Linked DNA regions of Lonchura striata. The protein of the gene in region 1 purifies or fractionates together with the protein of each later gene. This does not show direct contact. Links are inferred from orthologs where the notes say so. Each region holds a gene or a part of one and is shown on either strand. Other genes may lie near its edges.

Region 1 (7,873 bases):
GAGAACTCAAACATAAGAACTGTCTGAAACTGAGACTAATCAGCCTACAAATGCTGAAGGAAATGTAGTTAACAAATACCTTGCTGAGACCCACATCTTCCCTCTCTCATCACAGCAGGAGTTCTCACCAAAGCATAACAGCTGAAGGATACATCCCACAGATGCACCTACAGCCCCATCTTCATGAGTCGTTTCTCTGAAACTCTGTCCAGAACTGACTGGACTTCAAAGCAATTATTTAGAGATCTTGCAAAATCAGAGAGAGTTTCCGCAAGGCCATAAATTCCACGGGTGAGCTATCTGCATGGAAAGGTACATTACACAGACCCTTCCTGGAGCAGCTGTTTTCAGAAGCTGAGAGAGGCTATTTATAGAGTGCCACTTGATTGCCAATTCACATGAAACTAAAACACCGAGTAAATAGGAAACAGCAATTAGTTCTCAGATGTCTTTCTTCAAAACATGGTCACTGTCGATATTTCTGATATTTTACACTGTAGCACAACACAACCATCCCAGTGAAGGGCTCATTAACTACCATCCACACAGACATCTTCCTCCCAATTGCATTGTTAGTCATGAACTTGCTGTAATGCTTTTCCTTTCATTTGGTGGCTGAAAAAGTGCAGCAAGCAAAGAAGAGACATATAAATTACTTCATTTTGTACCTGAATCCATAACTGTTTAGACAGATTTGCTCAAATAAAAAAAAAAATGCACATGGACAATGCCTCAAGTCTCCCACTACTCCTAAGTTACAGTGAAATTCCTGCCCTCCATTTGTTCTGCCTGCCAGACTGTTGAAACACTACTGAAAAAAAGAAATTATAAATAGGAAGAAGCCTTACTTCCCACGCAGATCAGACCAGCAGTGACCAATAAGCACTTGCACCCAGCTGACCAGGGCAGTCTTGACCAGTGGGCCAGAGAACAAAGCTCGTACACAGAGCTGCTGAAGTCTGAAAGAGAAAAGACCTACACCTACACTGCCCTGCACACAAAAAGGCACAACAGGCCTCTTCTCTAGGAAATCTGCACTTGAACAACCACACCTGACTAGCAGTCAAATCAGTGGGTTTATCAAGGCCATAAACGCCATTTGGGTAAAAGTGCAGTGGTTCCACAAGACAAGCACACCCTGTACCAACCCCCTGGTGAAAAGCAGGAGTCAGTACGGACTGAGCATGTCTTGTCACCACCAATGCAGATCTCAACTTCAATTCCGTGGGAAGGCTCTCCCAGGTCCTATTTTTTCAAGGCTCTCAAGCAACTGAACTTGTTTAGGTGAAAGGAAGAATAGTAAATATGAGACCTTAACCAAGGCACCATAGTTTTAACTAAAGTTAGAAACATTTTATTGGAGTAGCATCCAGAAAAGACATCTTGGAAGTCTGGGAAGATGATTTCTACTATTCGAATCTTAGTACTTCAACTCTCAGAGACACAACCATGTAAAAGCTGAAGAAAAAAACCAACAAAGGTCTTCTTCCAAAAAAAAAAAAAAAGGCACTTCTTCAGAATCTGCACACTACAGTCCTCATTTTAACATTGAGGTTTTCTGCTCCAACTGGAGCAGACAAAAAGTAAAAAAAAAAAAATCCAGTCAGAAGGATTGATCACTAAAAGTTATAACAATCCTCGGCTAAGGCTTGGCCAAGCACAGCTTGAGACTAAACAAAATCAAAAGCAGCTAGATCGTTAGTTCTCAATCAATTTTTTTATTTTAGGACTCAAAATTTCTTTCCAAGGGACTTGTGCACGGCACACACCGACACACCCCCCTCTCTGCAATCGGTAGAAACCTACAGCAATAACCTTGATTTCCTCGATTAACGTTTTGTGGATTACTGAGCGCTCAGGGACTACAGGCAGAAAACTCTTGAGTTAGGCTCAGTAATGTGATATCCCACCTTAAATTCCACCAGGAAAAACCCAAACGACAGACCATCACCACCGAGCACAGCCGGGAAAGCCTGGGAGACACGGATCGACACTCGTTTTACAACGCTGTAAATCAAGCTCCATCTCGAGTACTCGAGGTTTCCACTCCAAGGCAAGAATTGTTTTGGCACACGAGCACAAAAGAACGCGTTCCCGACCCACCCAGCCATCTACCCCGGAGAGACAACCCCCAGATCCCCAGCGCCGCTACGATGGATCGCCACACCTCCGACAACACGTGAAATAAACACCGGCGTTTAAAAATACTTTTTGGCAGCGTGTTTAGACAAAACCTGCGCCATGACAAAAAACATCGATAGTTCCTTCACGCCGAGCGCGGCCTCGGGGAGGAAAAGTGGCGCTGGCTGTAACTTGGGAAGTGCAAATGCCTGGCTCGGGCGCGGGGGCAGCCGGGGCCGCGCCGCCGGCGGGGACCCCGCGGAGCGCTCGGGGACACCAGGGCGCGGGGGATGGCCGCGCCGAGCGCCGGCGGCGGCTCGGCTTCTCCCGGAGCCCGGCAACACCTCGGGCCGCCGGACAGCGGCCGCGCCATCACCCCGGAGGCGTCTACGTGCTTTGTTCCCAGCCGCCGGCAGCTCAGCGCCGGTAAATCCGGACCCTGCCCGGCCCCGGGCACGGAACGCCCGACGCCGGAGCTGCTTTGAGCCGCCGCCCAACTTCCCGGCTGGATCTCCGCGTGCAACAGTTCCTTCGGGAAACAGGCGCGGCGGGCGAGCGGAGCCGCGCACCGAGGGACCGGGGGGTCCCGGCGGGCCCCAGGCCACCCGGGCAGCGCGGAGGGATGGGGCCGGGGTGTCCCGGACCGCCCCTGAGGTCGCGGAGGGTGGATTTGGAGGTGTCGCCGCCCCACACGCGGCACAGGAAACTTCGGAGCTGCGGGACAGCGCGGCCGAGCGGGGGAGCGGCGGCGCCTGGAAGGGGCTCCGGGCCCCCTGCCCGCTCGGTGGGCGCCCGGGACGGCCGGAGCTCGCCCGCCCCGCCGAGCGCGGGTCCTTACCGAGGTAGTGCCTGCGCAGCAGTCCCGGCTCCTCCAGCCCCAGGGTCCGCTTCCGCACGTCCCACAGCAGGTGCGGGCAGCGCCCGCGGGACATGGCCCCGCGCGGGCGGGAAGGGCGCGCGCCGAGCCGGGGGGGTGCGCCGGGACCGGCCGGGCGCGCGCGATCACCATGGGAACCGCCGAGCGGGCCCCGCGCGCGCGCCCCGCGCCCGCCTCGCGCCGAGGCACCGACCGCGAGCCAGGGGCGCGGCGGCTCCGGGACACGCCCACCGCGCGCGGGGGCCACGCCCACCCCGGCCGCGGTGGGCCACGCCCGCCGGGGAGGGGGCACGGAGGCCCGAGATTAATGGGCGTCTCGCGCGAGCCGGTGACGTCGCCCCGCCCCGACTGAGGGGAGGGCGCGTCGTGGGCGTGGAGGGTGACGTCAGGGCGCTCGGCTCCGCCGGGAATAAACCCGCCCCGTCCAGTGAAGCGCTGTGAAGCCGCAAAGCGGCCATCTTGGCTTAGGGCGCATTACTCGCAGCGCAGGGTTCTCCCGCGGCGGCCATCTTGAGGGGAGAGCGAAGCAGCGGCCGCCATCTCTGAGCCGGGCGCCTGTGCCCTTCCCGAGGGCGGCGGGCGCGCCAGCTCTCCCCAGCTGCCCGGCCCAGCGCGCTCAGCCAATAACAGCGCGCGCAGCTCTCCGCCCCGCCCCGCCCCCTGCGGCGGTGACCAATCAGGGCGCAGTGCCGGGCGGGCAGGCCCGGGGGGCGGGGCCCGGGCGGAGGACGGACGGACGGACGGACGGACGGGACGCGGCCCCCGCTCGGTGCCCGCTCGCCCCTCTCTCCCCACTCGGACCCCGCTCGCCCCGTCCCTCGCCATGGCGGCCGCAGTCGCGGGGCTCCGCGCTTCCTACCACCGCCTGCTGGACCGCATCGAGCTCATGCTGCCGCCGCGGTTCCGGCCCTTCTACAACCACCCCGCGGGTAATGGGCGCGGGTCACCTTGGCCCCCGGTTGGACCGGCGGGGATGGTGGCGCGGGGGATGTGTTCCGTACGGGCGGGGCCGCAGTAACGCGGTTCGGGTGCTTCTGGCGCGGGAGGGCGGCCCTGGAGCGGAGTCCTGCTCCGTAACGGGGAATTGACTGCTCCTGAAGGGAGAGCAGGATAATCGGGCACGGCACGGCTGGTTCCGGGATGGATGCGCTGCTGTCACTGTCGCGGTACCGCGGGGCGGATCCAGGGAGCGCCTGGGCTGCCAGAGCCTGGCCCAGGGGATGTCGTGGGTCTAAAGGGGCCTGGATGCCTCGGGAACCGCTTCTTGCAAGAGGATGTGCTGGAAAAATCATAGAATCCTGGAATGGTTTGGGATGGAAGGGATATTAAAGATCATCCCGTTCCACCCGCTGCTACGGGCAGGGGCACCTTCCACCAGAGCAGGCTACTCAGAGCCCCATCCAGCCTGGCCTTGGGCACTTCCAGGGTTTCTGATCTTGAACTGTGCCCTGGTCAAGTCAGGCAGCCTTTGGTTTTATTTCCTTTCTGCTGAATCCCACGCTTCTACCAAAGACAGCTCATGCCTTTGGTGAATTCGCTGGAGGACTCCTGCGGGTAAAGAATGAGCTCCCCTCACCTGACCTGCAGTTTACCTTTCCATGGGCAAACGTGGGGGGTTGTGTTATTAGGGAGAAACCTCCTGTAAAAGGATCTCGTTCAGTGCCATCTACGTGGTGTTTGTCATGTAAACAAATTGCGTCGGTTGTTAAAACGAGCGCCCGATAAAATCCTGGCATTCCATAGGCTCTGTCCCCACTGTTTCCTGTCAGTGTCACAGGCATCCTTGACTCTTCACCTACCAGGAATATGCACTGTGAAAATGGACTTTGGTTTGCAGTCACTTGCTCTATCCTCTTACAACGGCCCTTTCTTGGAAGGAAAATCGTTGTTCTAAAGGAATCACAAAGGATGAAGAGTGCAGTCCTCAAAATGTTTGATTTATACTGAATTCACTAGACCAATATATTTAACATTAGCGTATTGCTTTTATACATAAAGAGACAGTATGTCCAACACTGAGAGACACATTCCACTGGTGTGAAATGTGACAGCTTCCAGATACTCTTAGTGGATGCAAGGCACAGCAAGTGCTGGGAACATCCATGTTCCTTCTTCAACAGAGCTGTAGTGGGAATTGGAGAAAGTTTTGGAGGTTCTCTTGCAGTGCTTTTCACTTCACAAAACTGCCTGTGGGCCGCTCTTGGTCATCACCATAATGTTGTCAGTAATAAATCCATTTTTAGGGATTCTTTGTGTATATATATGTTATATACCTGTCATAATCCATACTGATGGTGTAAGTGAGAAAAGTCACAGCACAAGCAAGTATAGAAACTGAACCCCTGCAACTTCTATTTTAGCCTTGAAGGTGTGTCTTTGAGAAAGTTATGCAATAGATGTCACTCTGCAGGAAAAAAAGTGGGTTAAAAATGAAAGACTTTCTTTTATCTCCAGTGACATCTTAATCTCTAGTCTAATTCAGGAATATAAGCGTCATTGTCATGAAATTATAAATCACCTGTGAGGCATGAAGCACTTTCTGGCATAAAGAAAGCTTCCAGCAAAAGAATTGGTGCCTGTTAAAAACTGTTTCTTTGGCTGGCATTGTTGGAGGACAGTGGAGGGCCTGGCACACCAACTCCCCAGGTTGCCATGGGAAAGCAAGGGCTGAGCTTGTGCTCCCTCCCCTTTGGCTGCTCTGGTTCACTTTGCCTGACTAAACTCAAGTTTTCAGCACAAAGACTTCTTACGTTTAATAGAAGTCATAAATTCTATAAAACTGGTCATGTATGTGATACCTAAATTAGCCTCTGGTGTTCCCCTGCTCTCATGTGCTGCTGTTGTATTCATCCTTGAAAAATTCTGGATGTCAGGAGCTGGGAAGAGTTCACCCAGGCTGGGTGCTTGCTGGAGTGCTCCAAGGAGAGGTGTTTAACAGTCTTCCCTAATTACAAACTTGGTTTGGTACCTTCCCCCTCTCCAATTCTTATTTCTGCAGTCATCAATTTGAAATGGTTGAGTTTTCTATTATTAATAAAAATTAATGTCAGTCTTCTTGAAAACTATACTAGCTGTTTAGGGAATGTCAGTTTAATAATTTATACTCATCCCACATCCTCTGGTACTCCAAATCTGAATTTGCTTTTTAGAATAAGATAAATGTTAGTAATTAAAGCTACTCTGTAAGACTGATTTATTTATAACAAGCTGTATTTGCAGCCTGATACTGACACACCAAGTAAGTGCCTAAGAGAACAGCAGCTGAAGTTTATATCTTTAAAGGATGAACATTAAGCTGCTGTTATCTAATATTCAACAATATTAGACAAAAAGTAGTGTGCTTGTAGTTATTAAATGGAGTTTGAAACTTGATCACAAGCTGGGTGGGTTAAAAAGGGCTTTATGCAAGGCTGCCAAGCCAGTTTTTGTTTCCCAATTCATAGTTTTAAACTTGAGGATGGTTAAAACTGGAAGTACAAGTAGTTAGTGCAAGGTCTTTTTAAGGCTGAATTATTAGTGAAAGAAATAGCTCTCATAAAAAGCAGGAACCAAAGTCCTGGTGGTTACTCCTATGTAATATATTATAGTGAAAACTTGGCTTCATTTTGCATGTTATCAGTGTGCTGAGCAGTGACCTAAAGGTTAATTTCTGACTGTTTCATAGGGGTTGGTAATTTGAATTGTGGTCTCTCATTTAAGACTTGGAGCAGAAGTCCCAGATTAATGATTTCTGGCATAGTTGTAGGCGTGGCTTTACATGGGCTTTGTTTTAACCAACCAGTTGCTGTTTTAGCACCATTGAAAATCACAAGTATTCATAAGAGAGTTGTTTTTCCCCCAGGTCCCATGCCATTGGATTTTCCTCCCTTCCTTCTTGAGATTTCCTCATTTTCCCCCAAATCCTCCTTTGCTTACTGGTAGATTTTTGGGGTGTTTTCCATATTCCTAGGACTCTTCCTAAGTCTTTAATTTAAAAATGCATTTTGCTTGCTCCAGTGTCCTCAGTTGCTTAAACATGGATATAAAAAATCCTGTCCAACTGTTGCAGAAATGTGTGGAGTGATTATACAACTGAAGGTTGATGCACTGAGGTGATGAATTATGAGTATTAGGTGCTAGAGCTTGTACAGCAATAGAAACTCTAATATAAACAATTCATTATTAAAAAAAAACAACAATTAAAATAAAACAAACTTACTGTGGCTATTAAAACAGCCACACCTTACTAAGTAATTTAACTTCTTTTCTCCCATTCTCCCTCAGGTCCCAAAACAGTGTTTTTCTGGGCACCTGTCATGAAATGGGTAAGTACAAGATGCCAGCTGGTGTCTGGGTGTCAAGCCCAGGGCAACCTGCAGCAACACACTGAGCAAGCAAGAGATTCCCAGCAGATACTTGAGGCTGCAGAAAGATTAAGAGGCTCTAATTCTTAATATATGGGGAGGAACAAAATTAGCCTTAGTAACAACACAAACTGAAGGGGATACAACATGGGGAAAATGCTTTGTGGAAGAATTGTGCTTTTCACTGGGGTTCTCTTGTGAAACACCACCTGTTGCTCAAGGTAGGCATGATGCAAAACTCATAAAGCATGTGTCTATTCTGAGATTGAGGAATTTGAGAAATATCTTATACGGATAAGTATATTGTAAGAAAGCCAATTCCGAAGCCTCATAGCTTGAAGGCAGGCTGAAGCATGTCAGAGTGCAAGATGGTCTTGACCTAAAAGACAAAAGCAGCTGCAATTGTGGCTGTCCAGTGGTGTGCCCTGCCTCCTGTGAGGTTCTGCTTCCCACTGGCTACAGCCCTGGGCTGTGTTTGCGCCCAGGTGATGCAAATGCCACCTCCTAAATCACTGTGCTCCTCCGAGGTATT
Region 2 (7,714 bases), on another chromosome or scaffold:
GGTCGGGATGCCCACGGTGGCCGCTGGCTCTCCAGGGGGCTCGGCCGCTCTGTGCCACAGCGCTGTGCTTGGGTTTGTGAGCAGCTCTGAGCTGTGTTTTGGTTCGGTGTCCCACCCACCCTGGCTGGGGACTGTACCCCTCCTCTTCCCCTCTGTTCTGCTCCACCCCAGCTGGTCCCCAGGGAGCTGTGATTGCCAGCAGGCTAGCACAGCCTCCTTCACAGAGGGCCACAGGGACAAGTGCCACCTTTCCCCTGTAGGGAGGGGGCTGCTCCTGCCCTTCCACCTTATAGCCAGGTCCTCTGGGGGGGAGATGTGGGTCCCAGTGTGGGGCGGGCAGCGGTGGCTCTCTAGAACCCCTGCAGTCCCACAGCCCTGCCCTGGAGCAGGACTCTCAGGGCCAGGGCCACCCTCTGGCGTGTGAACGAGCTGCTCTGCACGGAAACTCTGAGCTCAGCGCTGGCGCCTGCCCAAGAGGCCGTGGGAACCACAACTCTGGGCTACTCCTGCAGCACTTCCCTGTGGCGTGAGCCTGCCCACGTTCCCTCCCTGAGGAGCAGAGCAGGGGCACACTGCCACAGCCCCCTCCCCATGCACCCCCAGTGAAATCCTGCACCAGCAGCTCAAGCCTTTCCTCTTTAATTGAGGCTCGAATCAAAGCCACAGGTGACAGATGGGAGGAAAAGCTCAGCCGCCGGTGGTGAGATGAGACCAGGACCCTGACATGGAGCAAGGTCCCAGCCAGTGCTGAGGGCCAGATGCTGTGGAGCTGCTGCTCCCTGGACAGCAGAGGAGCAGGGCTGGGTGCAGCAGCTGGCCTGAGGAATGTCTGGTCCCTTACTGCACACCTTCCATCATCTTCAGGAACTCTGCAAGAGAGCAGCAGCCTCAGCCCATGGCCCTGCCTGGGTGTACAACGTGGGTGCTTGTCTGGGGCCACTGCTCACCATCAAAGTCGATGCGGCCGTCATTGTTCTTGTCTGAGTCCTTCATCATGTCCTCTATGTCCTCATCAGTGACAGGCTCCCCGGTGGCTCTCAGGATCTCGCCCAGCTCCTCAATGTCAATGAACCCATCCGCATTCCTGCAGGAGGGTGAGGGAGGGATGAGACCTTGCTCGCCCCCAGAGACAGGATGGGCCACTTTGCCCCCACACTCACCGGTCAAAGATGCGGAAGCAGTTGGCCAACTCCTCCTCAGACTTGCCTTTGGCATCCTCTTTCATCTGGCGCACCATCATGACCAAGAACTCCTCAAAGTCGATGGTGCCGCTGCCTGTGGGGAGGAAGCCAAGCGTGGGTCAGGCTACCTGCCCAGGGTCCAGTACCCACCCCTGCCACCAGCCACCAAGGGCTGCTCACCATCCTCATCCACCTCCTCGATGATGGCATCCAACTCCTCTTTGGTGGGGTTCTGGCCCAGCATTCTCATCACCGTCCCCAGCTCCTTGGTGCTGATGTCTCCACCACCATCAGCATCAAACATGTCAAAGGCGGCTTTGAACTCTGTGGAGAGACAAGTCAGGTCTCTGAACAGTGGAGCAGAGCCAGACCCTGCACCATGGCTATGTCCAGCCCCTGTCCCTACCGTCCCCACACTCACCCGCAATCATCTCCTCACTGAGGAAGGCACGGGCTTCTGCCTGCTGGTCCGTCTGTAAGGCAAGGGAGAGGGGCACCCATATCAGGCCAGAGACCCCTCATACAGCATGGCCAACAGTGCTTGGCTGTGGAAAGAGCCTCTGCCCTGCTGCAGGATGATCCTGTGCTGCCATGAGTCACAGACACCAGCAATCCCTACAGTTATGGCACTTTCTAGGCACCCATGAACATGGAGGGCTGCAGGGAGCTGCCTGCACAAGTCTCCCCTTATCCAGGGGGCTCCATTGTGCTGGGGTCATGGTCCCTGTGTACAGCCTTGGTATCCTGGGCATGCAGTGCTATTTTTGGGTTCTCCTCAGCTCCCCTTGTAGGGATTGCTGGGGCTCCAGCCGTGGCACCTGTCAACCCCGATCGAGTTTCTCCTGGAGGCGCAGGCCGGCCATGGAGCCAGCAGCAACGCCGTGTCGCATGACCCAGCACTCGGCTTTCAGCCACCCCTGCCACCCCTGCCTCTGTGCAGCTCTGAGCTCCGCACAGGGCTGAGATGGTGTCCCCAGGAACCTGCACCCCTCAGCAGCCACACTCACCCTCAGATCTGTCCTGTGGGGACCCTGCACCACCCCAACGTTTCCCTGTCCTCACTGCCATGGTCAGCCCAGCACTGGGGACCGTATCCCTGCTGCCTTCTGCAGAGGCACCTCCACAGCCCAGACCCCCCTGTGCCTCCTGCCCAGTCAGGTCTTGTCCTGGCACACAGCACATGGCACACAGCACACAGGAACGCTTACCATCTTGGGAATTTATTGGGCTTCCCAACCCCAGAGAATCACCAGCTCCTGCAGCAGGAACTCCCAGAAGCTTCGTGGTGCCCCTGGCACCCCAATTTGTAGTGTCTCCTCTGTGGGATGTTCCTCCAGCTACAGCCCCCTGGCCCCCTCAGCCTATCAGCGCTCTGGCAGCATCCAGCCCCTCTCACTGGCAACTGGTGCCTTTACCTAATTTAGCCAAAGCTTTATTGGCCAAGGGCTGGGATTAACGTGGGGATGAGGCTGGGATGGAAATTCAAGCCCTTCAGGAGGGAGATCAAAACTGTGGCAGGAGCACAGCTCTGCCCACCCCCAACACCCCCATCCAAGGCAACTCAGCAATGAGGGGGTTAAAAATAGCCCTGGAGACGTCAGCATCACCCGGGTAAGGGGGACAGAATCCCCCCTGCTCAGGGGGCATGGACTATTACCCACTGGCCCCTGAAAAAGTAGCCCTTCCTGGCCCAAGCTCCCAATACCAAGCTGGTTTCCCCCAGCACAGCGTTCTCTCCCCCTGCACCCCCATTTTCTGCTCCAAGAGACCCAGGCAGAGCAGTGCTGCAGCCCCCCACCCCAGATAAGGAAGGGGTCCCCAGTGGGGCCCAGGGCATGAAGTCCCTGGAGAGATTTGGAGCATGAGCCCCATGGTTTGGGGTCCCCAGTGCTGTTGGCACCTGTTTCCGGAAATAGGTCCATCTTTTCGTGCTTCTGAGGAGTGGGAATTATGCCCGGTGCCTCCTCGAAGGCTCAGTCCTCACACTCACAGCCTGTGCCAGCCACTGCTGCCAGGACCGGCTGGGGCTGGTGGCTCTGGGGATGTACTGGCCAAGTAGCCCATGCCCTGTGGGGCTCAGAGTCTCAGGGCTGCAGTGGGGTCAGGGTGACTGATCTCTGTCCCACAAGGTCCCAGTGCCAGGGATGACCAGGGGTTTCCTAGCTCCTGGTTTTGCTGGGACCCCCATTCACCAGGTGGGAACTGGGAACAAGTCCAGCCCCTAGTGCATCCCACCCTGCTCAGAGAAGCTCAGGGGTCCCATCTGAGCCTGGGTGAGGTGCAGGGTGCTGGAACAGGACACAGTGAACAAGCGATGGACAGAGTGATGGCAGCAGCTGGGCTGCTTCCTCGATATTTATAGACATTCCCAAGGAAGCAGTGAGGAGTGAGCGGGCAGGCTCTAAAAAAGGCCAGGCAAGTGCTGGAGGTGCAGCTTGGCCATGGGGCCCGTGGCGAGGAGGCCGACTGAGGCCAGGGTGGCAGGTTGCCAAGGTGGCCCAGGGGCATCCCAGTGGGATAAGGAGCCTGAGTCTGGGTAGCAGGATACAAAGATGTTGGTGATCCTGCTTGTAAGGGCACAGCGATGCCAGGGTATTGGGGTATCAAGACCCTGGGACACCACAGCGCCGAGCACTGGAGTGTGGGGGTCCTGTGGCCCCAGGGCAGATATCCGGGGCTCGGCCCGACCAGGACATCCCGGACAGGGGACAGAGGAGCCGAGACGGGGAAGGGCGGGGTCGGTTCCTAGGCAGGGGCTGCGGGCAGAGCCAGGCTGAGCCCTGACCCTGATCCGGGAGTCCCGGGCGGTGCTGCAGGGACCGATCCCGATCCCGGCCGTGCCGGGCAGTGCCGGGAGAGCCGATCCCGATAGTGCCGGACGCTGCCGCAAGCGCCGATCCCGATCCCGGCCGTGCCGGGCGGTGCCGGCTCCGCCGCCCCGATCCGGGTTCCCGGCGGAGGCGGAGCCGCGCAGGGAGGATCCCGGGACGAGCCGTGGCGGAGCGGCCATCGCTCGGCACTGCCCGGCTCGGCTCGGCTCGGCCCGGGGCAGCGCGAACGGGCCGGGGCGGGGGCAGCAGCGGGAGGCTGTCCCGGGGCCGGGCTGTCCCCGCCGGGGGCCGTGCCGCGGTGGGCAGCCCCCGGCCCCGCCGTGCCGCGGTGCCGGGCCGGACCCCCGGCAGCGATGGCCGCCCGCATCCTGCACCGGCTGCGGCACGCGCTGGCGGGCGAGGCCGGCCGGGAGGAGCCGGCGGGCGGCGGCGGCGAGGCCGAGGACTGCCCGGAGAGCTCGGAGCTGGAGGACGACACCGAGGGGCTGTCGACGCGCCTCAGCGGCACCCTGAGCTTTACCAGCCACGAGGACGAGGAGGAAGAGGAGGAGGGGGACGGAGCTAGCGAGGAGCTGGAGGAGCCGCCGCAGGCGCCGGGAGCGGCGGCAGGCACAGAGGACGGAGGCAGGTGCTGGGGCGGTGAGCTGGGGGGACTAGGGTGACTCCAGGGACACTTATGCGATGGTGGCGTCCGGCAGCCCGACAGATGTCAGAGCCCTGTCCCCACGGGGGGCACTGACGCTCCTCTCCCGACACAGAGTGGGTCTCTGCGGCGGAGCGTCCCGGCGGCAGCCTGCTGACCCGGCAGCTGCAGGAGCTGTGGCGGAGGTCGCGGGGCAGCCTGGCACCGCAGCGGCTGCTCTTCGAGGTCACCAGCGCCAGCGTGGTCAGCGAGCGCTCTTCCAAGTACGTGGTGAGTGAGCCCGGCGCGGCTGGGCGGGCAGGGGGTGGGTACGAGTCCTGCTCTCCCCGGGGCAGGGATCCCACGGGGCTGGTGCTTATTTTTTTCTCTTTCTCCGTGCTGCTCGGATGGTGCTGGCGGCTCAGATGAGCCTCAGGTAACTATTGCTGATGGGTGCTGCGGCTGCAGCAGCCCAGTCCACTCCCTTCTGTTTGGGCAAACTCCCCCAGCCCCTTTGTGGCCGCACACCCTGCTGTGCTTGTGCCGGGAGCAACCTGCCCACAGCACTGCCTGACACCTGCCTCCCCCACAGCTCTACACCATCTACCTGATCCGCTCTGGCCAGTTTGACAAGGCCCCTGCCACCATCGCCCGGCGCTACTCGGACTTTGAGCAGCTGAACCGCCGCCTGCGCTGCCGCTTCAGCTGCGACATGGCCAGCGTTGCCTTCCCCAGGAAGAGACTGCGCCGGAACTTCACTGCCGAGACCATTGCCAAGCGGAGCCGAGCCTTCGAACAGTTCCTGTCCCATCTGCACTCCATCGACGAGATCCGCCGCTCTCCCGAGTTCCTCGAGTTCTTCTTCCTGCCGGACCTGCAGGCTGCACAGCGCCTGACCTGCACTGGCATGTACCGCGAGGCCCTGGCCACCTGGGCCAATGCCTACCGGCTGCAGGACCGGCTGGGGGTCTGCAGCTCCGGCCGCTTCCTGCTGACACTGGCCGGGCTGGCCGTCTGCCACCAGGAGCTGGACCAGCTCAGTGAGGCCCATGGCTGCTGCGAGCAGGCGCTGCAGCTGCTGGAGGCCCAGGGCAGCCACCCGCTCCTGGGACCCTTCCTGCAGACCCACGTCCACCTGGCCTGGAAGGTGGGCAAGGACAAGCGGCGCTCGGAGGCCCGGCTGCAGGACCTGCGGGAAGCTGGGCTGCCTCTGCAGCAGCAGCCTTCCCTGAAGGAATGCCTGATCAAGGAACCTCTGGAATGAGCCACCTGTGCTAACAGGGGCGGGAGGGCAAGGGCTGTGGGGGAGCTCACAGGCCTGTGGCAGCTGGCAACAGCGAGGGAAATGCCATGGGTGGCAATGGGGCAGGGGAGCAGCGCTGCAGTCCCACGGGCAGCACCGCCCATGCCTAGAGCTGCCTCCTGAATGCACTTTCTCTGTGGTTAGTCTGTTTAGCGGGGCTGGGGACTCAAGGGGGTCCACCACCCACATTGGTGCTGCCAGAAGCTGCTCCCCCTCTGCAGGGGATCCTGGAGTGGCTGAGACCTTAGCTGGGACATACTGGCACCTTGCAAGGGAATGGGAAAACTTCTGGCAGGGTCCAGGGCTCTTGCTGGGAACTTCCCATCGAACTTACACAATAGAAAGGACTTTATTAAATAAAGTCTTGGCAGGAAGAAGAGCACGGCGCCTGCTGAGTCTGTTTAGCCTTACTACCCCAGGGCATCATCAGTGGGAGGCCTCAAACCTCCATACAGAGGTGGGAGCTGCCTCATCCCCTTCTCCCAGCTCCCAACTGGGCCCAAGCCCAAGCCCAGTCCTGGGGAGGAGCCCAAGGACAAGCAGAAGTAGCGACTGAGGAGCCAGGGCAGTACAAGCAGTGCAGAAGTGAGAAGAGGAAACAACGTGTGCCAAAGTAGCACCTTCCCCTCCTGTGACCCAGCCTGGCACAGGGGAAGAGCTGATCCATTGTGCTCCTGGCACTGCCTGCCCTTGTGCAAGCCCAGTCACAGGTCCAAGGGGACAAACTCCAGGGACAGAGTCCAGCTCTTCACCCAATGGCTTTATTTTAAGGTGGATGAAGGATAGCTGATGGCAGTGTGAGCTTACATGCTGTGCAGCTAGCAGCTGGTTGCAGCGATGCTCTGTTGGTCACAGTCTGTCGCAGACATCTCTGGCACTGGAACTTCCTGCAGTGCTTGGTCCCACCTGGTCTCCTTCCTGTCCAGGTTGTGTCTTGATCTCAGGGTCCCTCCCTCGGCATGCTTGAGTCTATAGCGTCTCCTCAGCTAGAGCTTGCTCTGGTTTGGTGACTGTTCCACCCTGATGACACCTTCCTGTGCACAGGTGACAGCCAGGACCCCATCCCTGCGCCACAGCCGTCCCTGCACCAAGCCCCGGCACCCACCTGCAGAGAGAGACTGTCAGACTGCAGCCCACTGCCCCAGGACAGGCAGGGCTGGCCTTGGCCATGAGGGTCTCCCAAAAATGCACTAAGGACTTACCAGCCCAGGGGCTCTCACACTCGTACAGCATCCAGTGGTCAGCTCTGAAGGGCGCGTGGAACCACATGGAATGGTCAAGGGACACCATGAACTTGACGCGGTACTGCCGGTGCGGGAGCAGGGCCGTGCCCAGGAAGGCGTAGTCAGAGATGTAGGCAGCCACGCAGCAGTGCACCTTCATGTCAGTCTCCCCTGCAGAGCAACCAGTGCTGCCCATCCCGCTGGGGCCTGTGGGACGTGTCTGGAGTGCAGAGCCCCAGGGGCTCCGCTCCCCTGGAGCCAGCTGCCAAGCACATCTGAGATCCCTCCAGACTTATTCCCTTTGCCATGCCATGCCCCAGCATGGTTCACAGCATCATTTCTGCACCCACACCTGTATTACAGCCTTGAAGTGTCCAGGCTAGGGCACAGGAAGCCCCCTAATCACAGCCCTCCCAGCCCATTCTGTTGCAAGAGTGCTCCACAGGTGAGCTGGTGCTTAAGCCCTTGGATTGGGAGGTACCTGAACCCAGCAGGACCCACCTATGTAGCCTCGGGCTCGCACCCAGAAGAGCTGCTTCGGCTCCTGTGGCTCT

The links.
Region 2: the proteins of DCAF6 (region 1) and TNNC2 purify together in Homo sapiens (affinity purification with mass spectrometry; 3 studies listed by BioGRID and IntAct, with this or other methods). This does not show direct contact. The link is inferred for Lonchura striata from reciprocal best matches to the Homo sapiens genes DCAF6 and TNNC2.

Annotation. Positions count from the first base shown.
Region 1 is NC_134604.1:15,140,462-15,148,334, reverse strand, and holds the start of DCAF6 (DDB1- and CUL4-associated factor 6), read right to left. Parts: upstream 3,121-7,873; 5' UTR 3,054-3,120; coding exon 2,960-3,053; intron 1-2,959. Other genes in the region: MPC2 (mitochondrial pyruvate carrier 2), read left to right, coding at 3,822-3,927, 7,262-7,302. UniProt on the Homo sapiens protein: Ligand-dependent coactivator of nuclear receptors. Enhance transcriptional activity of the nuclear receptors NR3C1 and AR. May function as a substrate receptor for CUL4-DDB1 E3 ubiquitin-protein ligase complex.
Region 2 is NC_134619.1:8,185,653-8,193,366, forward strand, and holds TNNC2 (troponin C, skeletal muscle), read right to left. Parts: upstream 2,596-7,714; 5' UTR 2,393-2,595; coding exon 2,390-2,392; intron 1,655-2,389; coding exon 1,603-1,654; intron 1,506-1,602; coding exon 1,362-1,505; intron 1,276-1,361; coding exon 1,161-1,275; intron 1,085-1,160; coding exon 948-1,084; intron 870-947; coding exon 838-869; 3' UTR 624-837; downstream 1-623. Other genes in the region: SNX21 (sorting nexin-21), read left to right, coding at 4,366-4,636, 4,771-4,925, 5,227-5,898; ACOT8 (acyl-coenzyme A thioesterase 8), read right to left, coding at 6,924-7,042, 7,140-7,331, 7,662-7,714. UniProt on the Homo sapiens protein: Troponin is the central regulatory protein of striated muscle contraction. Tn consists of three components: Tn-I which is the inhibitor of actomyosin ATPase, Tn-T which contains the binding site for tropomyosin and Tn-C.